4 linked regions of the Lepisosteus oculatus genome follow. The protein of the gene in region 2 purifies or fractionates together with the protein of the main gene of each other region. This does not show direct contact. Links are inferred from orthologs where the notes say so. Each region holds a gene or a part of one and is shown on either strand. Other genes may lie near its edges. The genes, in order: tfdp1b, lin37, rbl1 and lin54.

The links.
Region 1: the proteins of lin37 (region 2) and tfdp1b purify together in Homo sapiens (co-immunoprecipitation; 3 studies listed by BioGRID and IntAct, with this or other methods). This does not show direct contact. The link is inferred for Lepisosteus oculatus from reciprocal best matches to the Homo sapiens genes LIN37 and TFDP1.
Region 3: the proteins of lin37 (region 2) and rbl1 purify together in Homo sapiens (affinity purification with mass spectrometry; 3 studies listed by BioGRID and IntAct, with this or other methods). This does not show direct contact. The link is inferred for Lepisosteus oculatus from reciprocal best matches to the Homo sapiens genes LIN37 and RBL1.
Region 4: the proteins of lin37 (region 2) and lin54 purify together in Homo sapiens (affinity purification with mass spectrometry; 4 studies listed by BioGRID and IntAct, counting the BioPlex papers as one, with this or other methods). This does not show direct contact. The link is inferred for Lepisosteus oculatus from reciprocal best matches to the Homo sapiens genes LIN37 and LIN54.

Annotation. Positions count from the first base shown.
Region 1 is NC_090710.1:28,862,685-28,870,155, reverse strand, and holds the start of tfdp1b (transcription factor Dp-1b), read right to left. Parts: upstream 3,015-7,471; 5' UTR 2,810-3,014; intron 2,764-2,809; exon of another isoform or gene 2,562-2,763; intron 2,556-2,561; exon of another isoform or gene 2,399-2,555; intron 1,980-2,398; exon of another isoform or gene 1,874-1,979; intron 711-1,873; exon of another isoform or gene 673-710; intron 562-672; 5' UTR 481-561; coding exon 469-480; intron 1-468. Other genes in the region: tmco3 (transmembrane and coiled-coil domain-containing protein 3), read right to left, coding at 6,312-6,425. UniProt on the Homo sapiens protein: Can stimulate E2F-dependent transcription.
Region 2 is NC_090722.1:10,937,198-10,944,617, forward strand, and holds the start of lin37 (protein lin-37 homolog), read right to left. Parts: upstream 3,007-7,420; 5' UTR 2,921-3,006; intron 2,159-2,920; 5' UTR 2,115-2,158; coding exon 2,081-2,114; intron 1,634-2,080; coding exon 1,558-1,633; intron 1,361-1,557; coding exon 1,310-1,360; intron 839-1,309; coding exon 809-838; intron 667-808; coding exon 581-666; intron 272-580; coding exon 111-271; intron 1-110. Other genes in the region: proser3 (proline and serine-rich protein 3), read left to right, coding at 3,954-3,964, 4,223-4,331, 4,705-5,006, 5,618-5,763, 5,896-6,017, 6,794-6,879, 7,117-7,250.
Region 3 is NC_090711.1:748,727-756,106, reverse strand, and holds the start of rbl1 (retinoblastoma-like protein 1), read right to left. Parts: upstream 3,004-7,380; 5' UTR 2,537-3,003; coding exon 2,372-2,536; intron 745-2,371; coding exon 611-744; intron 342-610; coding exon 141-341; intron 1-140. UniProt on the Homo sapiens protein: Key regulator of entry into cell division. Directly involved in heterochromatin formation by maintaining overall chromatin structure and, in particular, that of constitutive heterochromatin by stabilizing histone methylation.
Region 4 is NC_090698.1:27,535,364-27,543,180, forward strand, and holds the start of lin54 (protein lin-54 homolog), read right to left. Parts: upstream 3,001-7,817; 5' UTR 2,817-3,000; exon of another isoform or gene 2,309-2,816; intron 1,710-2,308; exon of another isoform or gene 1,488-1,709; intron 1,482-1,487; exon of another isoform or gene 1,266-1,481; intron 1,186-1,265; exon of another isoform or gene 1,059-1,185; intron 1-1,058. Other genes in the region: cops4 (COP9 signalosome complex subunit 4), read left to right, coding at 4,004-4,077, 5,519-5,598, 6,457-6,608, 7,584-7,687, 7,772-7,817. UniProt on the Homo sapiens protein: Component of the DREAM complex, a multiprotein complex that can both act as a transcription activator or repressor depending on the context. In G0 phase, the complex binds to more than 800 promoters and is required for repression of E2F target genes.

The sequences.
Region 1 (7,471 bases), on a different chromosome or scaffold from region 2:
ACTGCAGCTCGAGCCTGCCATCACGAAACCCACAATCTTCGGCAGAGCCCAGGCGTGCGCTGGGGGTGCTACCCAGGCCACGAGCCTGCAAGAAGAGACTGCCAAACGCGGCCTGGCGTGTGGAGGGTTTAACGGCCGGCCGGTGCTCCACGCGACCGAAATCCTGGAGGGAAGTAATCGGGATTGGAAAAAAAAATGGCGAGGTCGTGTCAACGACTAGTAAGCCCTACCGAGAACGCACGCATGCGGGCCGGCTCTGTACAGACCCAGGACGCTCTGCTTCGACGTTTCAGGGTACAGAGAACCTCCAGAGAGTGAGGATGAGGAATGAGCTCTCTCTCTCTCCCACCCCACCCGATGGCAGAAGGTCCTGCCGTCTCAACAGCAGAGCACAGAGCCCAGGCCTCTTGGCCACAGAGCCGAGGCGCAGCCCGCCCCTGCCAGTGTCCTCCCCACCCCCTCACTCACATCCTTCGCCATGATACCGAGTCCTGGGAGAAGGGATGCGCTGGCGTCTCGGGAGGGAGAGAAAACGGCTCAGGGTGTTCTGCGAAGGCCTGCCTGCAAGAGAGAGAAGTCAGCCCGGTTTTAACCCGCCTGCGTGGGGGGTTGGGGGTGGGTGGGGCGCCGTTTCGGACTCGGACCGGGCTCCGGCCCTCCTGCAGGCTTTACCTTTCGAGCTCCCCGCGAGAGGTGTTCATTTAGTTCAGCTGGAAAAGGAAGGGAAAAAAAAAAAACATCAAAGCTCAGGGTGTCTCTTGGCCTTGTCAGGACCCCCTCCAGAAAGGTACTGGGCGCCTAATAAAAACACCAGACACTGAGAGCCCCCCCCACCACCCCTGAGCTCAACAGCTGGGCCCCGAGAGACCCCCCTCTAGGCCAGACTGAACACCGTCAACACCACCCAACAGACACACTCTCTCCTTAACGACGACGAGGAGGAGGAGGAGGAGGCGGCTACAAAGCTGCCACCAAAGCGCCGGTGGTGCTCGCCGGGTGAAAGTGGTGTCCATTTTAACGCACAAGGGACACGAGTCCCCTGTCATTGACATGCAAGCCGTGTCCGGGTGTCAGCCTGACCGTTTGAATAACATTAGCGGCCCCCCCAACAAGCGCTAGGCCTCCGGTTGGTCTGTCCTAGCTGAGAGAGTATCGTTTTAAACGCGTGGGCACAGCACCCGAGAGCCTGCACCGTGCAGAAAAACGCGAACCCTTTCAGGAAGCACGATGTTCATTTTGTTTTGCCCTTTTTTTTTTTGCAAAGATACCCCCCCACCTCCGTCCCCAAAGAAGTTGAATCCCTTTCACCGAGCAGGCCGGCACTCCAGCATCTCCATTCCTTCGGGCACGGGCGTTGTGAACACAAAAAGGTGCACCGTCGGAAATAAACAAAACCCGTTTCTGGGCGAAATGGGAGCCCGCTTCCAGGCCGTGAACACACTGGGCTGGATCGTGCCGGCTTGTCCCAACTTCAGAAAAACAGGCGACGTGAGGCCTACGCGTTTCTGGAAACTGGAGAGTCCGGACTAATCCGGCCACTGTTGCAACCTGCTTCGGCGATACAGTACGTGTCCCCTTGATGGGGGGGGGGGGGTGAGGACTTAAAACCTGCCCGAAAATCCTCCTATTGCACCTTCGGTAAAAAAAAAAGTATTTACGCGGAAACGCACGTCCTCTTTAAAAACCAAAAGGTGGTTACAGCAAAAATCTAAGACATCTGAACTTGCACGCCCCGATTGCTACAATGTGCCACCACACGCGAATTCATTTCGCCAGCTCATCGGAAAATAAAACGACCCCCCCCCCCCCCCCCCCCAAACCCACCAAAAACAAAAAGGCACCGACCACCTCCGATCAACTGCAACAAACTTACAACTGCCCCGGCGTCATTCAGCTGCACTCCGGCTCCTGCGCTGGCTGGCTGGCAGTGGGAGAGGAAGAGGTGGTCTGAACCCGTACACCCAACAGGAAACCCCAAACTGAAAAGAAAACACACACAAAAAAGGGCCAAGTCTGCCATTCTGTCAGAATTAACGCCACCCCGAGCTACACCGCCGACACGCAGGACTCAAAACGCAGCCCCTTGCGTGCTCTCGGAAAGCCCGTCCTCGACAAAATGGTCGCTTTGCCATCTTGGCCTCTCACGGCCGCCGCCGCCGCACGCTGCTCCGAGCCCCCGTCCCGGCTCCGGCATGTCACCCGGCAGCACAGCCGTGGGGGTCCCGGCGCCTGTCCTGGGGGCCGTCTCCCCCGGGTTCAAGCGTGCAGGGCAGGCACGGCGGCTAGTTCATCTCTGTCCCGATCGCCCGTCTCATCTCAGACCACGGCTATAACTCGTGCTTGGGGAGGCAGAGAGCCGGGGTCGCCGCCGCAAAGGAAGCTAGAGGTTTGTGTTTACCTTGGAACGGGACGTCAAACCCAAAGCTACAACAACAACAACAACAAAAAAGCCCAGGTCGTTTCGCCCCTTCAGTAACCCAGCTGGGACCTGGATCACACCGACTTTCACTGCCGTTAGAACCAAGAGGATTGAGGGGAGGTGGTGGTGGGGAATAAAAGACCTTTGGCTACACCAAGCCGGGACTGCAGCCCTCGTCACGCAGGGGGCCACGGCGAAGCCAGCATCGCCCACGTCCCCGCTCGCATGCGTGCAATCCTGGCGTAAGGATTCAACTTTCGCGGACCCCTCCGGCGCTCGCCTGCAATGTCGCCTCAGCCATCTGTGTCAAAACTACTCCCTCGCGTAAAACGAAACGCTCTGCTCTGCGCTGGATGGGGGGGGGTGGTTACTGGTCCGTCCGCCACTTACTTGCTCAAAACCCGAGGCTCATAACCCTGCCCCGGCGTGGCGTGGCGCGGCGCGGGAGATTCCACCCACGGAATGTTTTTTTTTTTTTTTTTATCCCGTGCGCTCCGGTGTTTTCTTAGAACCTGTCAGCGCCAGGTTCCCAACTCGAGCCTGCCTCTTCCAGCGCGCTGTGCTCCTTGCTCTCCGGCCGACAAAACTGATCTTGGCGGTGTCCACAAAACGAGCGCGCCCATTGGGCACGCACGGGGCGACGTCATCGCGCCGGCGGGAGGAGGCGGGGGGGGGGCGGGTGGGGAGGCCACGCCTCCCCCTCTCGCAATGGCTGGCGGTAAAGCCGTCGCTCTGGTGGAGGCACCTGGCGCGGGGGGTTATGGGATAGAGGGGGAGCTGGGAGTGGAGAGGTGGCTGGTGGGATCGGATTGGCTTTTGTTTTTTTGGGTTTCGATGTGTAAAAAAAATGTATCCGATTTCCATAGTAAATGTTACAGTAGCCCGAGGTGTCCAAGGATAACATACCCGTTCAAAACACTAGGAATGTTTGTAAATTACATCTGAGAGTTAAATTAAATAACCTAAACAGAGCTGGATAGTCCGGAAATAATATGATAGGAAATTATTCAACAATGAGAAGTGGTGTAATTAAGTTCTCTATAAGATGGCATAATACTGTAACTATTGTTATTTATTAAAATGAAGCCTTGAGCTAAAGCAACCGGGCAGTTTTTCCTAAAGTAATCCCAGTGATTAACTGGAATATTAACAAGGAATGCTGGCAGGGAAACAGCATTCTCTGTCGGTCATTAATAAAGTAATCTACATCATGGAATAAAATAAGATACATTCCACTTTGTACTTTCACAGCTTTGTGGTTTAGCACTTTAACAAATCACAATGATACTTCACATTTATTCCAATGTTATGTTATTTTATTATTATTTTTATTTATCCACTAATCCTTCCCAGCACTTTACACATTGATATGCGTGGAATGAAAAAAGTCACATTACATTAGATGGACAACAAAATAAATTCACATAGTCTGGATCGTTGAACACCATTTTCTAAACCAATAAAAAATAAAGATTCCTAAAACGCTTGTGCTTGAAATCTGATTCATCCGAATAAAATAATCACTGCTACCACTTTGTTTTTAAAAAAAGTTATATTTCATTTCTGAATAAAGTTATTTAAACATTCCCCTTACAAAAATATTAGTGTTATGGTCACAGGATGTGATGCACTATATAGACTGGAACAACACCTGACACCTTAATTTAACTTCATAAAACTTTTGTACCTTCTTTAAACTCACAAGTGCAATCTATTGAGGAGCATGAACGCTCTAGGTCCCGAATGGGTCCCTTTATTGTAATCACACAATTCTTCCCAAGCTGACTGCCAAAGCACTGCAAAGCAAAGCATCATCAGTGCCTCCGGTATGCATTCAAAGCAAGAGCAGCCATGCTCATCTGCATCCCAGCAGAAAGCCATGTAAACACTTAGCAGCAAAGCGCTTTACATTTACAGGACGTAAAAGAGAATTGGCAAAAAGGCAACCGTTGGTAACAAAACCCATTTCAAATTTACTGTTACACATTTCTGTGTTTTAGAAAAACAAAAGCCACAGTAAGTGTTTAAAAGGGTTTCTTTGGTTGTGCTTAGAATGAGAAGGATGACTATCATGGATGCCTTATTACCTGCGCCGCACTGGACTAACGCAGAAAGTCCAGATTTTGTAACGGATACTTAAAGCATCTGGAAAACACACACAAACCTTTTAGACATAAGCAAGCGGAAAACTGGTCAATTGGCCAGTTTTACTTCATACTGAGCACAGGCCAGAAAACCCATGTCAAAGAATTAAGAACCCCCTTACAGTATGCTGATGAAGTTTAAGGACTAAGAAGTACGTAGGTGCAAGCATATTAAAGGTACCGTGACATCCATGCAGTGTATGGCGAGGTAACACAAGGGAGATGTGGAATGTATTGTAAGGCACTTATTTTACATTTTTTCTGAAACTGAAGGATTCAGACCGTAAGGGCTCAGACAACACAAAAAGGTTTAGACAGATAACTTCAATCAAAGACAGCCTTGGAACAGCGCAGACCATGTCTTTAATCCAATAATTTATGCCATTCATAATTTGGAAAGGGTCCACTCTTTTGAAAATAGAATAAAATAAATATTACTCTAAAACAAGCATTCGGTAAAAGAAGCGTGCAATTTTGATCGAAGATCTATTGTTTTTCTTCCTAATTTAGCTGTTGTCTTTTGATCTAATGGAAGATAGAGGACATCAAACCAATTAACGGTTTAAACCTAAATTAAACTGCCTGATTTGCAGCCTGAATTAAGGAATTCTGACAGTATTAAAAAAAATAAAGTTTAATGTGAAATTGCTGCTACGATGCTTTTTAAAAAGAGTAGGTCTTGAACCTGAGCAATCTTTCAAGACAAATTATTTCAAAACAGTGTCATCAGCAGGATTGGAATGTCAGTAATGTAACCAACATTAGCAACTGATTTGGCCTGCATGCTCTGTGGCTACGATTAGGAATTTCAAGAACTATTTTTCATGCCAGCAGGTATAAGGCATGACATACAAAAATATAGACCTTTGCACTGACACAACCCTACAAATCACAAACATTGTAAGCCCCAAATTAGCTCTCCTATACTGGTTCAAATAATGTTTCACATTAAAAACATCCTACAGGAAGCACCTGCTCAGACAAGTTAGGTCAAACATAATAAGCAAGCTATATCAGAGCTCTAAAAGTGCCAATATTTACATACAAGCTGGTGCATCCTGCCTTCTGCTTTTGTTCAACCAGCTGAAGGCCCTCCATGTGTGAACATGGACATATCATGCATGACAGACAACAATGGATCTTCAGTCCACGTTGTGACAGATGTTTCTTCTTTAGCAAGTGGCCCCTCTTCATTGCTCCCGAGTTCCTTTACAGCCTTATTATATTTCTCTACAGTTTTCTTTTCTTTTCAAAATTACAGACTTTTCTAGGTGAAGCAGGGAACGTCAAACACTTGTAGGTCAAAATAATTTAAAGACAGACCAAATAAGAGCAAATTATATGTACACATATTCCCGACTGTTCAGGACACAGTGTTTATATTAAATCAGTTTTGAACTGACAAGACTTTTTGTTAAAAAGTCATGCTTTACCCAGGATGATCACTCCCAGAAACCACAAATGTTTCGCCTTGGACATTGTACAAAAATACTAAATCGAAATTACTGATCCAAACTCTCTCATCACGCTGTTTTTCACACTCAAGTGACCGCTCCTTTGGCCAAGGCAGTCAAAACTGCAGGGTCTCCCGCTTATACATTCAGGACGTTAAGTGTCTGATGAAATACAGCGTCGTGTTGTCACGGCGACCGGCCCAACCCAATGAAAACGATGATTGGGAAACGGAATTCTAGCCGGACCCGGCACCGGCCCCAGATCCGAAGCGGCGGGGAGGAGAGGCGCCACAGTCAGGTGCTCGTCCAGCGCTCCGCTCTGGGGACACACTTCAGCGTAGCGGCTTTCCACAGCACGGGCGCCAGCAGCAGGCTCAGGGTGGTCACGCTCAGAATGAGGAGGTACACCTGCAGCACGCAAGAGCGCCGTCACAGAACGCAAGGAAGGCAAAAACAAAGCACCACCTTCCCGCCTCTTTCAAGCTCTCCTCCCTCTCCGTGCGTCAGCCACCAGAGTACCTTCTACAGTGGGCTTAGCCATTACCTGGAACTCCAGGGTTTTCTGAAAAGAATGCAAACCAACACTGCTGGCAGGGCCTGCCCGGTTTCTGTAAAATATCCTTTAGGCAGGGCTGATACGGGCGACAGACCTATTTGCATAAGACAATAAATGTGTATGCAGTGTATGTTGCAGTATACCGTCCCCCTTTTCAGAATTAGTCAAATCAGTTTGCCTGATCGGCGCCCTGTGTTTTGTTTGCATTCCCTTTTCTGTTTTGTGCAGTTATCGGTGCTTCTGTTGTTGGTCACGCCCTGGTGAGCAAAATATTAAAAACAGGACTTGGGCACATAAAGAGGTTAATTTTGTAATGCTCCGACACGGAACATTTTTTTAAAAAATATGCAACCCATTGATACTGGCAAAGAGCACTCCCTTACATCACAATTAGAAAAACAAATAATAAAGATGCATGAATAAAAAGAATCACTTAAGTGCTTTTATCTCCTTTAATCACTATTGCAGTACCCAGTGCCGTTCATTTCGAATAAAGGCTTCTATCTCCACTTGTCTAGATACCAGGACCAGCAATGTAACACAAAGGAAGGAAGTTGCAAGAGGCATAGCACATTATGCAACATCATAGGATGCCTTTTCGAATGTTGATCATTTTTTTGTTGTAAATATCTGCACTTCTAAAATAGCCCTTATTGCACGGGCTTCCTCTCTCCGTCAGCTGCAGGCTTTCTAGCTACATGATAACATGTCATGGCCGATAAAAGCAAAGCACATGACAGGAAAAAGAATCCCTTCTGCTCCAAAGCTCAAAACACACATTTTTGATGAAAATTGTGCATCATAAATTCATATGGTTAAATATGTCAATTACAAATCACAAATACATAAAGTGCTGTTACACTGAGCATTAGGATGACTGGCCTTTGGAGTGGCGACT
Region 2 (7,420 bases):
CTCACTGATCCAGGGAGGTCTTGCAGCTGTTTCACACCCCTGCCACGCTTTGTGTAAAGGGCTGTGACTGTCTCTGCCCCTCCCACCACCCCCCCACCTTGGCGGCTCACCTCTTCCTCCACCAGGCTGGGTGGGGGGCTGGGGGACCCCGCTCTCTCACGGACCGAGGGGTTGTTCCTCATCCAGGCGCGGCAGATGGGGTACAGTGGGGTGCTGCTGGTGAACTGGGCCAGGTCCACGCTGCGGTCGAACAGCTTGATGATGTAGGTGTCTGCCGGGGGGAGAGGGAGAGATGGAGAGAGAGGCCGGCAGTGGGACGTCCCAGGAGAGACGGGGAGAAACACAGGCGGAGACAGAGAGTGTGCGTGAAACAGTGGCCCCGTGGGGCAGAGAGACAGGCGAGACAAAGCCGAGGGCGGAGGCGGGGGTGACGAGGGAGGCGGAGCCAGAGGCGGGGGGTGACGAGGGAGGCGGGGCCAGAGGAAGGGGGTGACGAGGGAGGCGGGGCCAGAGGCAGGGGGTGACGAGGGAGGCGGGGTCACGGGGGGGAGAGGACAGAGGCGAAGGGGGCCGCTCTCACTGGGTTTGTGCTGGCTGCTCTCCGCCAGCCCGTCGTCCATCTCCTTCCTCTTCTTGCGGCGGTGCTGCGGGAGGCGCGAGGAGGGCCTGCGGGACGAGAGGCGCAGAGGCGTGAGCGAGGGGGTCCCGATGACATCATCACTACCGCCACCAGACCTCCCTCTGCAGCGCCCCGCCCGACGGCCCCCACTCCCCCCTGAGCGCAGGCGGCCCACCGCCACAGACTCACCGTTTCCCCGCGGAGGACGGAGACAGGTCCCTGCGGAGCAAAGCACAGCGGAGAACGAATTAGAGGAAATGTGCCGAACGTCTGGAATCTCACCACGGCACAGAAACGACTCCCCCGCGGCTCCCGAAGGGGCTGCCGAGCACCCAATCCCACAAATCCTACGGACAATAAACGCACCGAGATTCCTGTGCTGTTTCTGTCGGCTGCAGGGCATTCCAGAGATTCAGAGGGGAATGATTTAGGAATAAACAAAAGCCTGGAGCTCACTCCTCATCCAGAGTGACGTTACTCTCCAAATGACCGTGCGAAGCATTTTAAACCCTCCCCAGGGAAACAAACTCCTGTCTGACATCAAGAATGACAGATTATTATTCTTAGATTGTTGATTGTGTAGAAAAGAAAGAGAAGGGGATGTCTGCATGGTGCTCAGTGGCTGAAGCAACTTTAATTTTACTTCATGTTTAGTAACCACATGCTCATTAACTCAGATCAACTACCTACTTGCTCAGCGAGTCTGCTCCCATCTTCCCAGAGTCCTCCTCGTTCTGCTCCCTGCAAGACACAGAGTAAAACAGGCACCATTAGTATGCAGACTGGACCTGAACCACCGGACCGGTTGTCCTCCTGGTGTAACAGGACTGGACCTGAACCACTGGACCGGCTGTCCTCCTGGTGTCACCAGACCTGCTCGGAAGCAGCTGGGTACAGCCGTAGTCTTTAAGATGCTGATCTGGCACAAAGTCACGAACCTCTCGCTGTCACTCTTCTCCACCAGGCCCTGCAGGACCGCTTCCAGCCTGCTCCTGGCGCTGACCGCCTCCACATCTGCAAGAGGGGACAGAGGAGATCATTATTCCCTGAGAACAGTGGCTTCCGAATGGTGACCCGTAGTTCATATCTGTCCTGCAAGGGTCTGGCTCCTGGCCTGTACTACAGAGCCAATGACTACAGCGAGTAGCTTGCCGATGGGTTATCCCAAGTGCTTTGCCTTATTTTCACAGGCTACACTAATAATGCCTCTTTTCCGCTGGCACGCCTGAGCCGAGCCCCAGCCCAACGCCCGGCTTGTGTGTTTATTTACCGCGCAGTCTGAGAGGTTAATTTCTTCATGGCCACAAAGGCCAACAGATCAGACTCCCATCCACACAGAGCACGCCGATCTGCATTGGGGCTTATGGGCGACTGGCGCTGGAGGGTCAAACGGCACCAAAGAGGCAGGAAAGTGGACCGGGAACGACCCAGGCCACTGTGGCTGCGTTCCACGTCCCTCACCTGGCTTCTCAGTTTTGATCTTCATGGGCAGCATGGTGGATCGGCCCGAGAGGCTCGGAGGCCACAGCTCCTTCTCTCCTGGAACGCCGGGAAGAAGACAAGTCACTTTCAAGTAAAAAGAGAGCAAAGAGCAGACTTCTTTAAAAGGAGCAGCCCGAGGAACAACGGGGACCAACAGGTCAGAACCTGACTGAACCAGATCGGCTCCGGTTTCCCCGGGGTGGGGGACAGTACCGTGCCCCCCTCCAGGTCTAAAAACATCCCAAAACAGAGAGGGCGACGGGCGGGATCGCCGACATAACCCGATTAAACTTATCACGACTCGATCGGTTAACGAGCGCAATCAAAATCCTGACGGTTTCTGCAGACTTAACCGGAGAGCTACGTTATGGGGTACTCATTTAACGTAGACTTTAAGGCGTCATTTCCAACCCTAGCCAATAGGAGCGGCAGGGTAGTGCCCATTTTAAAGTTTTCAATGCAGAGGAGTTTCATATTATTGTGCACTGTATTCATTTACAGAAATGGTATGACAAAAAAGAAAGAGTCCTGCCGCACGTCTTCCTCCCTGACTAAGACAGTTAATTAATAGACCTGATCCCCTTTCATGGTAGCCGTGCAGATCGCAGCGACATCAAACCCGACCACGTAGGTACGGTTATAAAAAGCAAAGTGATCACATAGACTTTACACGTAGACGTCATTTAGGAAGCAAAACAATTTTCATTTCTGTGTATATCGCCAAGGCTGCATGTGCTATAACAGCAAAAACACCTCGGTAAGGAAACGGTGACAACTTAAAAAGACACCATCATTTTAAAATCAAATATTTTTGTTTACCCAGACAGTTTCCCAAAAGACGTTCCTCTTCCGCGCGCAACCCGATCACTCTTCAGCTATTGGTGGAAACCGAAGGCTGCCTCCCACTTTCATTGCTCAATCATCCTGTCACTCATCGAATTACGTCAATATGATTGGCTAATACGGGGAAAGCGCCTGTCTGTGCTCTAAAACTACATTTCCCAGAATATTAATCAAGCTCAAGATGAATCTTTTTCATTCATATGGAGCCTTAAAAACCATAATTGTGTTACATTAAAGGTGAATTCAGGGTTATTTTTGTTTCCATCTATAATCTAACTTATTTTCTATTTCTCAAAATAGTTTTTTAAAAAAAGCACCTAAATGCATTATGGGAAGCGTAGTTTTCACTGGCTGCATTGGGTGCGGTTGCCGGGCGACGAGCCGGAGCCTCCGGAAGCGCGCGCTGTTTGGTTACGGTTGGGGTGAAATGGAGACTCGAAGAGAGCGGAGGTAAATAACTTGCATCTTATTTTTTACAGCTGACAGCTATTACACGGTATCGCAGTTTGGAGATTAAGGTTCTTTACGTGTACACGAAGGCCTGTTGTAAAATTATTATTTGTCTCCCTTAAACACGGCGTTTTAAAACTCGTGACCGTCTTCGTTACGGATCACTTTTGACAGTCAAAACAACAATAATCGGTTATTATAGTGCTGAAACTTTCATAATACCACACAGTTGAGGGTTTTCAGAGTACAAGCAACAGAAAAGCTCAGTTGTACCTCCACTAAACTAACGCAAGACGCACTGGGTGTTTGTTTCTCATTTTAAGCGAATTCCGGTGACAGCACTGCGGCGATAGATCGGCACCAGGCGTGACGTCCTGGCGTCCAGCCTCCAGCCCCCAGCCGTGAGGTTGTTAGCAGGTGCCTGCGTGGCCGTGGGATCAGCGTGCGGGTCTGCGGGCCTCCTCCGGGCCCGGCCGGCTGCTGGCGCTCAGGAGCAGCGCGGAGGTCGGGGCAGGACAGGGAGAGAAGCCGCCGGCAGCGAGCACGTATCGAAGGAGACATGAAATCAAGGTGAGAAGCTGCCTCACAGCGCTGGGACCCCGGGGTGCTGTCTGTGTGGAGTCTGTATGTTCTCCCTGTGTTCAGGTGGGTTTCCTCCAGGTGCTCTGGTTTCATCCCACAGCTCAAAGACAGTTAATTGCCTTCTGGGAAACTGGCCCTGGCGTGTGTGTGTGGGGGGGGTGTGGGTGTGGGTGTGTGTGTGGTGTGTGGGTGGAGCCCGGTGCTGTATGACACTGACCTGTCCTGCTCTTCCTCTCCCCTCCACAGTGGTGCTGTGTTCTCCAGGCAGAACCCTTTCCCTCCCGATCCGCCCTTGTCCAAGACCCACTACAACCCCTCCCGTGCCAAGACGCTGCCCAGGCCGGAGAGGAGGACGGTGAGCACCGGGTGTGGGAGTTGAGCCGGTCCGCTCCAGCTCTCGCTGCCTGCTACAGGGCTTGTCTGAGTAAACCCGTTGCCGGAACTGGATGTCTGGAGTTTGGTTCAGGCCGTTTTGAATGGGATGGCAAGAGAGACAACCTGATCTGCTTTGGTTGCAGTATTAAAGGGAGCCTTGGTTTCTCCAAGTAATTATACTGAGGAAAGGGCTAATCTATAATAGCCCTCCAGATTTATAACCCTTGAGAGTAAGAGAGAAGATCTGTTGTTTTTTCTGTCTCCTCCCTCCATCCCTCCTTCCCTTCAGACTTATTCTAGCCTATTCCCCTGCCATCTCAGTTTCAATCTCTCGCGCTCTCTGCCCCCCACAGGCCCTCAGCCCCGTCCGTCTCTCCCGGCCCCCCAGTCCCCCCCCACCGCCGGACACGCTGAGCCCCGCAGACGAGCGATTCCTGCTGGCGGCTTCCAACCGCCTGCTCCCGGCCGGCCCCCCAGCCGCAGACCCCCAGCCCAGCTTCTCCGAGTCCTGGCCTTCCACGGACCTCGGCTCCCCCCAGGGGGCCGACTGCGCCCCCTCCCCCGGCGCCGACGCTCCTCCGCCTGCAGCCCCAGCAGGAAAGCCCCAGGCTTGGGCAGGACCTGTAGGCCCGAGGGAAGACTCTGTCTTGGCAAGGTGAGGTGTACGGTGGCCAGTGAGGGTTGTAAACAAGGGGAGGCCGTGGGACCCATCTGGCTCGATGGGTTTCTTAGCAGCTCAGAGGATCCAGTTATCTCATCCAGCTGTTTCCTGAATAATCCCGGGGAACTGTCTTCAAGCACACAGTTCGATACCTCCCACCACCACCATTGGTGTAAAAATAGGCTTTCTGGTTGAAGTCCTGGATGCACGCCCTGTTAGTTTCCACCTGTGTCCACGGTTTCTGGTCCACTGGGCCGAAATAGTCTTCTGGGTCGACTTCGTCAGCAGCCTTTCAGGATTTTTCAATAGGTCCTATGTGTAATCCCTTCCAACCAGGACTAAAACGGGAGTCCTGTTCCTTTCAGCTGTCTGTGTTGCCCTTCCGGAGCGTCTGGCTCTGATTCTGGGATGGGCCTCCTTGTGCCAGAGCTTCATGGTCTGTGGCTGTTCGTTCAGCCCAGCTCCCGGTAACTAATTGGATGGGCTTGACGAGCTGTGGGCTCTGACATCCGAGGCCCATCAGGCTCCGAGTCTGCAGTGCACTAGGCTCCCAGCGGACCTCGCTGACGCCCCTCTGCCCTGACCGCTCCGCGTCTCCTCCCCAGGTACGTCGAGCGCTTCCGGCGCGGGCGGCCGCAGAGCCGAGAGGAGCGCCGGCGCTCCGCAGCCTCAGAGGGAGAGGGGGCGCGGTTCTGGTGGCTGCCCGCCTCGCCGCCTTCCAGCTCCCCCTCTGCGCTGACGTCCGAGAAAGGTGCGCCCCGCTTTCCTCTCCCCTCTCCTGTGCTCTGCCGGCTCGGCGTTCCCGGGGCAGGGATCTTGGGGACTGATTCCTGGGACGGAGCGGAGGGCCGTGGCCTCACTCTGCGTCGCGCTGTCTTTGCAGGCTCCTCGACGGCCCGCCGGGCGGCGCGGTCCCTCTCTCCCTCTCCCCCCAGCCCCGCGGCGCGGTCCCGGCTCAGCCCCCCCGTCTCCCCGCCCAGAGCCGCGCTGGACCTCAGCCCCGCGGTGAGTCCGTCTCCCCGGTCTGCTCCCGCCCTCCTCTGCCCGGCCCAGCCTGACGCTGCGGCCGATTGCAGGAGGCTGGCCTGGGGGCTGAGGGCTGCGAGGTGTTTAATTTCAACCCATTGCCATTAAACAGTCTAGATCCAGCGCAGGGACTCGGGGGATTAAAGTTAAAGCAGGAGCCTCTCGCCACCAAGTGGGCACAGCTGCCACTGCAGGCAGACCTGCTCAAAACAAATTCCTTTTCTGGGCACTCCACTCACAGTGCTTTCTAGGAAACAGGGACCCCCTCCACCACCACCAGTGTGCAGCCCTCACTGCATGGTGAGTGCCCCCTACTGGCCCCACTAACACCTCTTCAAGCAGCAGCCTCGGCTTTCCCAGGAGTCTCCCCTCCAGGTACTGACCAGGCTCACACTGCTGAGCTCCAGTGGGCTGCCAGCTGGGAGCTGCAGGGTGATATAACTGCTGGAGTGAAATTATAGATTGAAGCTGTTTAACTCCTTTCCTAAGGAGAAACAGAATCACAGAATGTAACTTAATACAAAAAATATCAGACTGAATACTGTCCCCCCCATATCCTAACTTAAATTACGATCCCCAGGCAGGATGGTACTGGGGCTATATGCCCCATAACAGCTTTGAGAATTTTTTTTCCTGCTGCCCTGTCTTCATTGCTGAGCCAGTGTTGAGGGTGTGTGAGTACACTGCTGTCTCAGTGATGATGATGATGATGGTGTTGAAGGTGTGGGCCGTGTTCCCTGCCTGTGCTCCCCCAGGCTCTGTCGGACGGCTCCCCACGTGACCCCAGAGACCCGGAGATCCTGCGGCTCCAGGAGAGGGCCAGGCGGCTGGTGCAGAGGAGGTAGGGTGGCTTGGCAGCATCTTGGCACACGGGTCTTCCCTGACGCATCCCAGCGCAACTGCCTCTGGTCTCCGCTACAAACGCATGTCCCGTGTTCTCCTCTCCTGAGCTCGGGTTCGAGAGCCTCTCTCAAGCCCGCTGGGCTGACGTGCACCTGAGGAGTCTGAATCCTTGGACGGGTGGTAGTTTGTCCCACACCCCCCTGACGGCGGTTTCTCCTGTCCGATGTCCCGGCAGCGAGACCTCTCTCAGCAGCAGCTCCATCCCTGTGAGCTCTGAAGGCCTGGGCACCCTGGACTCGTCCTCCCGCTTCAGCATGGATGAGCCGGTCCGCAGGCCCACGGTTCCCAGTCTCCTCGACCCTACCACTGGTAGGTCTGGGGGAGGGGGGTGCAGTTTGAAGAATGGGATTTGGAGGTTCTGAAGGGTTGATGAGAAAGATGTGATTCTGTGTCCAAGCAGGTCCCTTCCATCATTGCTGGGAGTGAAACTGTGGATGTGTTGTGGATGTTGCCGGATCTGTGAATCACAGCTGAGCTCC
Region 3 (7,380 bases), on a different chromosome or scaffold from region 2:
AACAACATCAGTCCCACCTTGGTGGAGTATTAGAAGAGAGGAACTGGCCATTCTGAAGTAAACAGCAACACTACCCCACGCTCCAGCTGCTGCAGGGATGGCGGCTCCAAGGCCGCGCGGGGACAGAGAGGGGGTCGTACCTGTGCTTCCTGCTTCGGGCCGGCCGAGGCGGCTCCCCCTGAGGATCCTGAAACATGTCCACAAATATTGGCTCGAACTTCTTGAAGATCACGGTCGAGACCTCGAAGTTTCTCTCCAGGCGTGCTATCCTCTCCCGGAACTCCCGGGACAAACTGGACATGTCCGCCCACTTCTTCATCTTACTGAAGAACTGTATTAAGCTGGGGTCCGGGCGAGAGACAAGAAACGGGGAGACAGAAAACAGAGCAGGTTATGTCGGGGAATTCAACTGCAGAGACACATGTTAGAACAGCTTTTCTAGACCACATGAATAAAAAAACAAACATTCTTAGTTGGTCTTTTCTGAGAGGGAGTCTTTATTATCCCCGAGGGGGCAATTTGTTTTACAGCAGCAGTGCTGGCGTTCAGATGGGCGGAAAAGGGTAACGGTTAAGGTTAATCCGGTGACCTGGGGAGAGTGGGGGCTCACCTGAGCTTGGAGGACCTCAGGATCCTGGTCAGGGAGACACAGTTGCCCTCCATGACCCCCTTGCCCACTGTGGGGGTCCAGCCCTTCCTGCAGGCGGCGTAGAGAGAGCAGGCGAGCCAGTGTGCCACTTCACCCTGCAGGATGAGCAGAATATTATTATATTATCTTATTTCCCATAAATACAATAGGATTCTTATCCACACTATTCTCTCAGGACATTCGCAGCACAGCAGATACCACACAATGTACACAATACATTACAAAACATAGTGACAGAATGTACAGACAATAAACAAAACAATAAATACATGGTATAACCTAATAACAACAATCCTTAGGACGAGCATCACAGACCAGAACCTCCAGAGCAGCTACACACAGGATAAACAGGAAACCCCCCTCTCCCCCGTCACAGAGCTCCTGGATTTGTCTTTCCTTCCATGCGTGAATGGGTGTGGGCTTCATATCACAGATGGGAGGGTACAGCCATCGTCAGCTTGCGTTTCAAGAATGTCTATTCCAGCCTGGTCAGATTTTTCTTTGGGGGGAGGGAGACTGCTCCGAGTTTAAAAAGATGCTGAACACCTACCGACTCCCCAACAAGCATCACTGTTACCAAGAAGAAATACGAGTAGCTGGCTGCATCAGCATGCGCAGGCGGAGCAGTGGCTCTGTGGCTCAGGATCTGCGCCTGTGGCTGGAGAGCTGCCGGTTGAAATCCCGTGGCCGGCAGAGGAATCCTACTCCGTTGGGCCCCTGAGCAAGGTCCTTAACCCCAGCTGCACCAGGGCGCTGTACAATGGCTGACCCTGCGCTCTGACCCCAAGCTTCTCTCCCTGTCCGTGTGTCTCATGGAGAGCAACTTGGTGTATGCGAAAAGACAAATTTATTCCAGGCTAAAATGTATTTCTTATGAAGAAATTGTGTATGGCTAATGAGGTGATCTCCTATCTTCTCCTAGGCTGCAAAGGAACAGGTAAAGGTTTATTCCCTGCTGAAAAAGAGGTGCCCCATGAAGGAGGCTCCGCAGAGAAAACGCTGCTTTCCTTTTCAGCCTGGAAATCACCTTTACCTGCGCCTCTGAGATAATAAATACTTCGCGCTTCGAGACCTCGAACTGAAAATGCGCACAGCCTGCCACTACGAACACAAGCAAGAGCAACACACAACACACAACAACACACGCCGTCCCCCCCCTGCGCCGCGCCGGCCAATGGCGCCCCGGCAGCCCCGTGTCTCCCACACACGCCCCTCGCTTCCCTTTAAAGCCCCGACCAGCCCCTGTCCTCGGTTCGGAAATCACATCGGAACTCCGACATGTTCCCCCTGACGCTGCCGGCACACAACAGACCGGGCTGGGCCAGCGATGTCAGCCGGGACCCCCACGTAAACAAACACAGAGTCGCCGGGCGGGCACAGTCCTGCTCCTCCGCTGCGCACAGGAGAGGCGGAAGACAGGGGGGTGCGGGGAAACAGACCCGTTTCGGGGGGACAGACGGGGGTGTGTTGTTTACAGACTGCGCGACCCTGGCGGTGCAGCTCAGCTGCCGAAGTTCATTCCGCCGGCTGCGCGCTAACAACGACCTCCGGGGGGAGGGGGGCGAGAGAGACACCAAAACACAAAACGACAATAAGACAGACAAACACACACACACACGGACACTGCCGAAGAGAGCTTCCCGGGCGCTTACTGCGTTTGGAATTAAAAAAATAAAACCCGTAAAGACGTCGCAGCGGCGGCGCATCCTGGGTCTGCCTCACCTCCAGGGTGTATGTGTCCCAGATGGCCGTGAAACTCTGGAGGGCTTCCTTGCCCGTCTGCTCGTCCATGTTCAGCTCCTGGCACAGCGCCTCCAGGGTCCGCCGGACGTGGCCCTCGTCCACTTTCCGGGGCTCGGACCCGGCCTCCGTGCCGACTTCGGGCATTTCTCCGCCGCCGGGTCTATTCGCCGAAAGCGCAGCCTGTTTACCTCAGCGCAGCCCCCCGCTCCGTCCCTCCGGCTCCAGGACCGCTATCCCACAATGCCGCGCGGCCCCAGTGGCGCGAAAATCCACCCCGTCCTCCACCGCCGCCGCTCAAACATGGCGGCCCCAGGATACACACTGTAGTCTACCGAAGTTTCTGTCTTTGTCTCTAATGTGGTGCTGTATCGGTCCTCCGTTAGATTAACAGTTTGGATAAAGGTATAGAGAAGTCGGTCAACTCTGAATTTGGTAATTAGGTTATTCCAATGTTTTAAAAGATTATTTTTGAACGATTTAAATCATTCATACCCGTAACCATATCATTATTTAACACTTGACTTCCATGCAAATATGTATTTTGTTGTTCCTGTCGGTTTTTTCTTCTGTACGTCAGTACACCAACACTGCTGCTGTAAAACAACTTGCCCCTTCCCCCGGGGATAATAAAGACTCAATTGTAAATGAGAGTATCTTATGGTGAGAACTGTGGTATTGACAGTGACAAATACTAAGACCCATGCTGTTGAATGTAACACCCTAGCTCCTCAAAGAATAGAGCTAAATGACACCCAATGACATCAAACTGCCAGTCAAACGAGGTGAATGCACTAGATAGTCTCCCCTCATTAAGATTTCTTGTGTCCTTATCAGGTATATTTCAATGCTTGCTGTCCAATTAGAAATCACTGAAAGAAAACTCTTGAACTTCACATTCACGTAATTTGGTTCAGCTTGCAGTCATTTTCTTTAATCTGCTTATGCTAGCAAAGTCAATAACAATAAAAGACTGTAAATTCATATTCCATTCTAGCTGTTCTGTTCAACTCTGCTCTGTTCTTACAGGTTATGTTCCCCTAACACAAAAGCAGAAGGCACACTTAAAGTGAAAGTTGAAAGTCATCTTTTATTGCACAATAAAAGATCACATACCATGTTTTGAGTTATGTGATTGGTCCACATGGGAATACAGGAGCTAGTTCAACAAAATAAAAACTAACGCCGTAAAAGCTGCAGAGGCAGATTTCAGATCTACACAGAACACACTCTGCTTCTGTAGCATACAATCCGGAATAGTCTTGGGTTCAGGGAGAAAAAAAAATTACACCCGGGTGGCTAACCACTGGCCATCACTGCATTAAAAGAAAACTACAATTCCAGTGCAGGTGGCTGTGGTCCAAAAAACCTTTAGCCCCATCTGAGCATCACACTGTCTGTTCATGCAATAAACTCCCAGAACTAAACACCGTACTAAACAGGGCTCTGTGAGGCACACTGTCTGAATTAAGCTGACAGTTTTGCTTGTTGACACAAAATGTGTGCTTGCAAGAAGACACACCAGCTCGTTTTAACTTTATGCTCTAGGCATGGCCAGTGATGTCAGGGTTTTATAATCATCCATTTTTTAACCACTTCTTCTAGTTCAGTGGTACGGGGGAGCAGGAGCCTATCCCAGCAAGCAACGGGCCTCCGGTAGGATGCACCCTGGATGGGGTGCCAATCCATCTCACGACAGACACAAACACAGACAAGCACACACTTGCACCCAGGGCCAGTTTTCCCAGAAGCCAATTAACCTACCGGTATTTTTTTAGGACTGTGGGAGGAAACCCACATGAACACAGGCCGAACATACAAACTCCACACAGACAGCACCCCCAGGTCTGGAATTGAACCCAGGGCCCCAGAGGTGAGAGACAGCAATGCTAACCACAGTGTCACAGTGCCACCCAATGGGACATTTACAAGGACAAATTCGGTAAAATACCAAAATGTTTCCTGACAATTAACCTTGAAGAGCCCTGTTTTAGAACAACAGATCGCACATTATTAGTTACTAAAGTATACCATCAGCCGAAGATGAGAGTCATAAATCTGTGATGATTGATAAACGATAGGGCTTTGTGTCAGAAGGAAACCTCTTTCCTTTCTGTTGGAGTAAATAAGTGATTTTAGTGTTGTAGGATTACATTACTAATTATACTATGTACTATTTAGTATTGTGCTCTAACTAGTACAGTACAGGTGCTGGGATACCAGTGCATAACTAATTACAAATGACAAAAACCTGACCTAAACAAAAATGAGAAATAAAAAAAATTCTGGATAAAAATAAGAACTTGCAGGTCAAGAATATAAATATGTTTTTTATTATAACTCCACTTTCAAATAGCTTGTTATTCACATTTATTTATTAATGGAAAACGACTCACATAGGAAATAAGTCTAACTGGAGGTGCTTTAATACAGTACACAGACACAGACGCTATGATTGACAGTCACAGACAGTGAGACACTCAGACAGCCTGGATATTCTTTGCCTAGTAATTCATTATTCAGTACAATAAAGTTTCATTTTTAATCTGCTGCAAACTATCCCTGCTTCCACTGGAGGCAAAAATAAGATTTTTTTTTTTAAGGAAAACTAACAGCGTCAGTGTCGAAAAGAGATTTGGATCCTGCAGGTTTTCCTTCTGAACCCCTTATAAGTTAGAATACAGGTATAAAAATGATACTGGTAAGAAAGAAGTGTACAATAAATACATCTGAAATACACACGACTCCAAAAACAATCTGACCTTTGGATAAATTAGCAAGACTGTAACAGAAAAAAAAATACAAACATGGTAAATAGCGACAAACGACAGAATGTAAACTGAATAAATACTAACAGTTTCTGTGACCTCGGCTGCCCTTAATTACTGCTCCAATGAAGAGATTCAAGTCTTTCTCCCAGCAAACGCAGGGAACAGGTCCTGTCTGTGAGCGGGTGATGATGGTCAGCTGCTGCTGGGCTTGTCCCACTGTCTTCGTGTTGCGACGCCGACGTGATAGCTGAGGGAACTGTTTCTTTTTTTCTGAGGAGAGTCCAAACGCTCCAGCCAGACTTGTGTCAGAGGGGCAGGAAACTAAAACTGCGCCACCCAGTTTAGTTGTATGCACACACCTTCTGTTGCCAAGCTCAACGGGGTTTTGAAAAGTATCATGACGGTGGTGAAGACACGCAAACGTGCCAAGTTACTCAGAATTAGTAACACCATGCTCAGGCAGTCTAACAGTTTTGGGAAGCACAAAAAAGGGATCGCTTAAAATCACTTTTCACCAACAAAAGAACATTCATGTGAACTTGCAGCAGAGATCTGTGAAATTCCTCAGATTTTTGTGCTTATGAGATCACTTGAGAAAATATTAAGAGCATCAGATTGGAACACCTGTCTTTGCATTATTATTATTATTATTATTATTATTATTATGTACTGTGCGTTTTGCTTTTTAAATCCAGAAGCAAAAAGGTTACCAAGAAAGCAAAAAAAGTATGCATACAACTAAAGGGAAATTTCAAGGAACTCAGGCCAGTGAGATTCTTAGACCAGGTTTCAGTTTTGATAAAATGAAGTTCTACACTAAGTACTTTTATATACATTTTCAAATATGGAAATGCACAGAAACATCCATAGGCATAACTCTAAATAAGGCATTTTGTACTTCCAATATAACTAAATAATAACAAAGGACGATAATGATAATGGTTTCTCATTATATTTGGTAACGTTTGGCAAAAGCAAAAACAAAAAACAAAATAAATAAGAAAATAGGAAAAAGCCACCAGCTGTTTCAAGGCAACATCAATGCTAGTTGTGAAAAGTGAGACTGATGACAGTGCGAACCTGCTGTGGATGAGGAAGAGGCACAGTTTCCAGGTGAGCTTCCACACTAGGAAAACCACAAAGAAAACCTCCAGATGCCAGTGAGCCTGCCACGCCCTGCTTCTCTGTGCAAAAACATGTAACATGTAACATAACACAGGAAAATCAACTGTTCTGTCAAAGTGGCTTAGCTGCAAACGGACTCAGAAGCTTTAAAAACGCAACAAATGAATACCAAATCCAGTAACATTCATCGCCTTTCTAAACGCCTCTCAGTATAAAATAAAGAGAGATGCCAAACACTAGTATATCAACGAGGTGTGAAGTTACTGAGAGGTAAAACTATGAAGTGGAAAGGACAGTACTACAAGCATGGAGACAACTGGTCCTGATTGTGTCAAACACAGTATAATGAATTAAACAAAATTACAAGGGCACCTTGTAAAAATAAAATATAGATTTTACATCATTTAAAAGTAATAGATTTATCAAATCTACCTTCATATGTAAAACAGGAGAAAGGACACCCTAAAACTTTACAATAAGCTAAACACTCTGCTGGTGCATTAGTCCTTTCGTGTTCAGTAGAAACTCCTCCACTGCACTGGACACAAGGGGAAACTTCCCACCTGTTCCTTCAATCTTTACTCAGCTCGTCCACTCCCTCACTCCTGCAGCAGCGCAGCACTGACGCTCATCATCTCCCTCACTCCTGCAGCAGCGCAGCACTGACGCTCATCATCTCCCTCACTCCTGCAGCAGCGCAGCACTGACGCTCATCATCTCCCTCACTCCTGCAGCAGCGCAGCACTGACGCTCATCATCTCCCTCACTCCTGCAGCAGCGCAGCACTGACGCTCATCATCTCCCTCACTCCTGCAGCAGCGCAGCACTGACGCTCATCATCTCCCTCACTCCTGCAGCAGCGCAGCACTGACGCTCATCATCTCCCTCACTCCTGCAGCAGCGCAGCACTGACGCTCATCATCTCCCTCACTCCTGCAGCAGCGCAGCACTGACGCTCATCATCTCCTTCACTCCTGCAGCAGCGCAGCACTGACGCTCATCATCTCCCTCACTCCTGCAGCAGCGCAGCACTGACGCTCATCATCTCCCTCACTCCTGCAGCAGCGCAGCACTGACGCTCATCTACTCCCTCAC
Region 4 (7,817 bases), on a different chromosome or scaffold from region 2:
CCTTACCTGTTTCTGTTCCGTTTTTTTGTGCAGTACTTACTACTCTTAGACCAAGAGTCAAATCCAAACTTTAATTTTACTGCAATCGGAAAACGATACATGTTGCTTGATGAGTAACGACCACGCCGTACTAAATGGGCCTAATCTGTAACGTTTCTTATGCTCCAATGAAGCGGTTTGCCAAAGGGCACCTTGTTCCAGCTCAAAGGAAAACCACCATTACGTTTTGCAGACTTCAGGATGGGCTGGTGGTTCAAATTTTGATTTACTCCAGCCCCTTTTCTCCACTCAGGCTGCAGAGGGAGGTGGGTTATTTTAACCAAAAGTAACTTCCTTAGTGAATCTCCTTTTTTACAAAAAAAAAACATTGGTACAACACGTTTTTTGTTGTATATTTTGCTCACATTCAAATATTATTGTTCCTAGCCAAATCCAGTTAACTTCCTTCTCTTGTGCTATCTTTTCACTCCAAATCTTAATCATATGAACGAAGACCTTTCGAAAAAAGTTAATTTTGTGCAGTTACTGCACAGGCAGTATTTTTACTGATGGAATAAATCCGTTTCAGGGAACCTTTCGCCAAAGAGAAGAATTCATCAATGCAAGCTTCCCATTTCTGCGGAAGAGACCTGTCTTAAGTAGGTGTGCAAGCGACGAGTCCAGCTGACAAGACGGCAAGAAAGCGATTGTGTTTCACTCCTGAAGAGTGACAGGCGCTTTAGGAAAGTCACTCTTAAACCTAGCGCCAGAACAGACCAACTAACTCTACAATTATTTTATGCTACGTAGGCTTTAATCGCCAATACTTATCAAGGGGTCTCGGAATTACACAAGAGATCGTCTTGCTCTACGGGATACAGATAACACCCATTGCTAGAAAAGGACAGTCATCTTGTCGCAAAAGCTATACAAACAAAGAGGAAGAGACTGGTTTTATTCGGAAAAATGTCATCGTAATTAAGGGTTTTCAGCCAGAGATCTTTAAAAAACACCGGTCTCCTAAACACTGCAACGATCAACTTCAAGCCGCACAGAAAAATAATAAGAGCCTTGTCTACCTGTATTATTAATGAAGCTGGAGAGAAAACGAACTTCTGCTGTGCTGGCCAAAAGGGTCACATTCACACTTAGCTGACAACTGCTAAACGCGAGACGTATGCCTGGGCAGCCTAAAATAAAACTTTTTCAAAAAACATCTAACAAATGAACCGTCCAGAGAGACAGCAGCTAGGCCTTTGAAGATCAAAAAATAATCTTTGTCCTACCTCAACAATCCGCCAAATTAATACCGGCGGGTCTAAATAAAAAAGGAGACGCAGACTCGCTCTTCATTTTTTACACTTCCCGGAAGGCAGTTTGTTTAAACGAACGATTCCTTGGCTTCTCGCTCTGTGTTAAAAATCTGACTTGACAGTTTGCCTGCTGTGAATGTTATGATGTTTCTATTTCAGGCCGGGATTGGATTTCGAAAGATCCGCCATTTTCACCTCGTCATCAGTGCAACTTCACAGGAAAGAACCAACATCGCCAGCCCCACGAAAACAAGACGAAACGAAAATAAAAGGCAGAGAAGGGGAAGGGGGGGACGCCCCCAGATCCCGGTTCAAGAGAAGCAAACTAAGTGCTCCGTAAACAGCACGTAGCTGTGCATTTCCTGGATGATACGAAATAATGTAAAGTTCACAACTTAAAAACTCCACAGGCTTCTCCTGAACAGGAAGATCAACAAAAACACGCAGAGCCGCACCGCAGAGCCCAGTCCCCGCACGCGAGAGCAGCCTGGGCTTTCTGCTCATTTTAAAGCAAAACGTTGTTGAAAATAGGCTGGCAAACACACAGTTATATATCAAACGAGCTGCAATATATTTCGGTTCAGATGACTTTCAAATAAAGTTTGCAATAACAGTGCCTCGTATTATAGTGGTTATACAATTCAATCACAGAACGCGAAATTCCTAAATATAACAAAAGTTCCAGTTCAGACAAAACAGCGTTGTTTAAAACCAATACATGCATGACAAGAAGTAGTCATCTAAAAGCTATGTTTAAAAACCTGTTACAAAATTATGGTTTGATCACTTCAGTGATGTGATTTTGTAGGAAGTACAAAAGGGATCGTTGGAACTAAAACTGTCAAAAGGTATATAAAGTTATATAATACAAGATTAAAAGCGGTTAGGAGACAGATCTGCATAGATCAAATAAAACCGTATTCCTACATCGGCGTCCAATACGTCCTGAATTTACCACTAAGCTGTCAATCGTTGAGGATGACAATCTGTAACAACTGAGGAAAATGGATACCTACCCCTTGTTCGTGAACAAATCCCTTGATTCAGCGATTTTCTACAGGTTCTTTAAAATAAAACGCATTCCAGGGTGAAAACGCGTGTACATGGGACACAGGAGTCACAAGAAACGCAAAATCAGACGGATTATTGTACTACCAAATAAATGAGGGTTGTAGGTGACCTATGGGCTTGGCTGTCATCGACATCTCTTTAGCGCTTCTCTCGCACTCTCTCCTGGGTCCGGGGGCAGGTGTTGTTTAGTGAAAATAATCAGGAAAAAGACCTATGTAGCTAAGAATAAACAACGATGACCGATTTCATGGACTTCACGACGAGCATCCGTTCCGATCTGACAGCCTAAGTGGAGACATTTTGTCAGGCCAGGACGTTCTCTTGTTGCGGAGACACGAAATCGGGCTCCGTGCCTGGATGCTATTTACAATAGTCAGTGGAAGCTGGTGCTTATAATGCCTCAGCCGTCCCTCTCGGTTTGGGATGTGTTTGCTTGCCCCGAGCAAGTCTTACTGGAGATCCCCGATGCGCTCCGTGTCCAGCTGTGATTGCTGTCGGCGCCTTCTTGTATCTTTTCAACACAACCCCAGCCGAGCCCGGCTTTGCGCTGCTGCATCCAGACCGCCGACACACGGAGACGTTTGTTCAAAATCACGCGCCGAGCGCCATTCCACCTCCACCATCCCATAATACTGCCGCGCCCTCCTTGGAAACCACGCATTGCGTCTTTCGTCACTGCACGCACGACGTGCAGACACCCCCCTCCCATCCCCACTCCCTTCTTCTTTCGTCATTCCCACTTTTTAATATTAAAAAGTGCACTGCAGCTAAAATTTAAGAAGTTTGATATTATGCTATACTTTACAAGATTAAATATAAAAAGTGTATAATTAATCTGTTATCACTACTGACTGGGTATCACATCTACAAATCAAAGTGGTACAATGAAACTCTGATTTAATGCAGATAATGTGGAAATGCAGTGTTATTTAAACTCAATCAAAACAATTAAAAATAGCAAGGCAAAAAGTATAACCGATTTATGTAAAAATGTTAACTTATTTAGCAACATAGTTCTGTGTTTTTCGTTTACTTTTTAGATATTGTTTCTCCTTTGCATTAATGTTCAATAAAACATTAGTTTTTTTAATAAAACATTTTTGTTAAAAACACCAGTTAAAAATGTGCACTGCTGGTGAACTAACATCATGTAAAAATAAAGGACAAAGTTCAAAATGTCCATCTTTTTAAATAAAGTTCTAAAATTTCAGGACGTAATACATAATTAAACAGCATGTTTTTATGTTAACCGAATTAGTAGGCCCATTTGTTATTGTATTTTTTAAACAGCTATTTAAGTATATATATATACAAACAAACAACATTTTTGAACACATAATTTCATTTCAGCGTATTCGAAAACTTTTTGATTACTTGGCTTTTATTTTGGAGTAGTATTTTGCAGGTCTTTGGATGCGCGCCATAATGACGACACGTGTCTTGCGCGGTTAAGTGACGTAGCCGCAAGAGCGAGTTTGGTCTCCTGGTTGTGTTTTGACAGATTCGGCGCCTTCTTCGTCCGCTTGGAGGACCGAGGCGTTGCAATCCGGCAGCCGTTAGGTTTGTTTCTGGTTGGAAAGAATACTCCCTCTTGCAGCCTCTGCAGAAAAGAGTCGTTGTTGGTGTTTCGGGGCGAGAAGATGGCGGCGGCTGTCCGACAGGAATTGGCTCAGCTCATGAACTCCAGCGGATCTCACAAAGATCTTGCTGGAAAGTAAGTAAAACAAAATTTAAAAACTGAAAGAGCACATCTTTTCAGAGAAGAGGACGGTATCCTAGGCCTCCCATTAACTCCAGCATTTTGAGTAAAGCGGTTCTGGGTACCGGCTAGTGATGTGACAATCGCAGTGTCATGAATGAGTGGGGTTTTCACCTAGATGTTTTTTTTTGGTAAAACCATTTTAGATGTATAAATTGAATCGGAAGTTACAAGGTTAAGCTTTTTGTTGATAAGAGTTATATACTTAATAATAATATTATGTATATAATGGTTCTTTCGTGATATAATTTACGGTGCGTAAACATTATTTAAAATTGCTTTTGAATGAGGAGACCTTAGACTGATCAGCTCCTTGAAGACGCCGTGAATAAGTTATATTTCAACGTCCGATAGTTAACCGGCTTGAGCAATATTCAAGATTTGTGGATAGATACATTTCTACACTGCGAATAATTTACCAAAATCATGTATTTTAGGCCCGATAGTTAGGTTTATTGATGAAGTGGCGCTATGAAATACAATTAGATGCTAACAGGGTTAACAAAATTGCAAAACACATGAAAATGATTCATCATCCAACTGTTTTTACTTCCATAACAAAGACCAACTGATTGTGCACAAACATGCCTCGAGAGCATGAGGAATTTTTAGTTTGCTTTATATTAAAAGCATTGCCAGCTATATTCTTGGAGACTTCCTATCCAGAAGGCTTTATATAACATGTTGATCTTCAATTTTTTCAAACACTTAGAATTATTATCAATTCTAGGATATTATACAGTATTAAATAAATAAATAATTTGGAACTGCAAATGTCAGCACTACCTTAATTGAGCTTTTAATTGACTTTCTTACTTGATCAGTAACATGCAAGTGTTCCCTTATGTTGTGCCTAATTAGGTTTACTGGATTGAGGCTCCTGGATTGGAGACGAGTATATAACATTGTCCAGTTGCTTTCCTTTTGTTAGGCAAGTCTATTCTGATCTTGTTTTTAAAAATAGCATTTGGATAAAGTCATAATGTTTTAGTGCAATGGGAGTTATTCAGCCTGCTGTTTAATTTCACGAATGAGTGAATCCCATTTTATCCCCTGGGTATGTAGACAGATACATATGGAATAGTTTGTCTTGGCTGTAACAATGTTCCTCAAGTGAACGGTTGACTGAAAAATGTGAGTATTTCCTTTAATGTAGCTGGAAAATGTTCAGACTTTTATTGAAGCTTTTATTGAAACGTTTGTTTGATTTATATTTTACATATTTTGTCTCTGATTAGGTGTTTACTTTTTTAATGTCAAAACTTCTTAGGAAAAGATGGTGTGAATTGTGTCCTGGAGCAAACACTGCAGTGATCGCAATTATGCTCTGGAAGTACCTGTGGAATAAGTTTTGCCACACCAGTGCTACTGACTTACAAACAATTTCTTATTACAGGTACCGACAGATACTTGAAAAGGCCATTCAATTTACTGGTGCTGAGCAGCTGGAGGCTTTGAAGGCATTTGTTGAAGCCAGTAAGTACTGCTGCAGAATTTGCTTTTGTCGTCCCATTCAGTTAGGAATGTGTGAAGTGGGGTTTATATTGCTTTGAAATATTAGAAGCTGAACTTAAGCTATGTGTGTGTTAAAGGGGAGCTGCAATGCTATTTTTATATTTCGGGGTTAGAAGGAATCAGCATTGAAGAGTGCATTTCAAACCACAATTAAAGAAAAATGAACACAGTAGCTTGTAAAACCTCTAATTTACATCACAAAATAGCCACAAGTTAATCCAATAGAAATATTGCTCTCGATTTAGACTGTTTTGCCAACAAATGCTGCTTAACTCTGCATGCATATCACGTTGGAACATTCCTGTTGTGAAATGTCTGCTGCACAACCTGTACTTATTTGTGTATTCATCACATTACATGAGCAGGAAGGGCTGCATCACATCGCAGTTTGTGTTTGCGACAACATGGCGACTTGCATTACTTTCACAAAGTTCAGGATTTTGTGCTTCATTTGAAATTTGTAATTTTTTCTGTAACGTCAATGAATTTATTTTGTTATGAAGATTTAATAACCCGGTCTGAGAAACTGGGACTGTATTTCTTCTTAAAATACAGTTTTGTGTAAATTTCTCCGTCCAGATTATAGCAAAAGTACAGGAAAGCCATTTGTTGTTATCTTTCAAGCAGCTTTTTTTTTCTTTTGTTCTTGTAAGAGGTGGATCTAAGTAGTCTTTGATCTGAAATGGTCATTTTGGGTTTTAAAAAAAAATAATAGTCCCTTCTCGTGCAATGTAACACGTCAGCACTTCTTGTGCTGAGTGAAATGTTCGTGTCGGTAGGGTATGTGTCACTGTACCGGGTCTTCTCTCTCTTCCCCAGTGGTTAATGAGAATGTCAGCTTGGTGATCTCCAGGCAGCTGCTTACAGATTTCTGCACTCACCTCCCCAACCTCCCAGACAGCACAGCTAAGGAGGTGTACCACTTCACGCTAGACAAAATCCAGCCTAGGGTCATCTCCTTTGAAGAGCAGGTGGGTGCATATCTCTTCTTAAAAATTTCTGGCACCATATGTGGGCACTGCCTTCGCCCTACTGTCTATGGTAGCTACAGGTCCCCTGTTATACTATTGAGGTGCTCTGGTGTTGTGACATTGACGTTCAACCTTCTCTTTTAATTCTTGGAAAGGGTACATCTTTTATTAAGTTGCAAAAGGAATTAAACAACATGCTTTCTTCACAAATCTATTAATCCACCCATTTGTTGTCAGTTGTTTATCCTTGCTGAGGTTGTAGCAACAGGGAGCCTGTCCTGGATTGTAGGGTACCAGATGAAAATACACGGGTCACCAGCGCAGGGGACTTACACAAGAACAATTTAGAGACGCTCGTTGGCTTAGCCAGCATGGCTTTGGAAGGAGGGAGGAAACGTGCACCCAGAGAAAGCCTAACTGGAAGTGAGAGAAGCATGCCAACTCCACCCAAAGGATCTCCCAGTCAGGAATCGAACCCTGGAGGAGATAAGAGCTGTGAGGCAGCAGTGCTACCTTCCTCACCACTGTCGTGGCCTTAAATACTATAATACATGTCTTAAAAAGTTGTAGTTGAACTCAGTATACCTGAGAAGTCTGTCTTTTGGTCTCTTGCCAAACCATAGTGAAGGTGCTGGCTCAAATTTCAATGGCTAAGTAGTGTTCTCACATTGATTGTCTTAACTTTTTAATCACGTATCCGATCTGTGCATGAATGTGATGTTATGCAAAATCCGATTATGCTGCTGTATTTATTGATTTGTTTGAGTGGTGGAACTATTTCTCTTTCATAGTGAGTCTGTTCTCCAGACTCACCTCTTGCAGCAAGTGCTTTTTACACTTCTTGTTACTCACATGATACGATGAATACATGCAAGCGACAGCCGAGGTTTTGGTCTTAAAGTGATGAACGGCAGACCATAGAAACCCATTTCTAAGGTCTAAGTCTATTCCTTCTTTGATTTAATGTGTTGATAGGTGGCATCTATCCGGCAACACCTGGCAACAATTTACGAGAAAGAAGAGGACTGGAGGAATGCTGCTCAAGTCCTAGTTGGAATTCCTTTGGAGACGGGACAGAAGTAAGTGGGGTCTTCAGTTACTTTACTGAGTTCTGCTGTGCCGGACTGGTGAAATGATCACTACTCTTTTTGTCTGTTTCCCAGGCAGTACAATGTAGATTACAAGCTAGACACATACCTCAAGATCGCT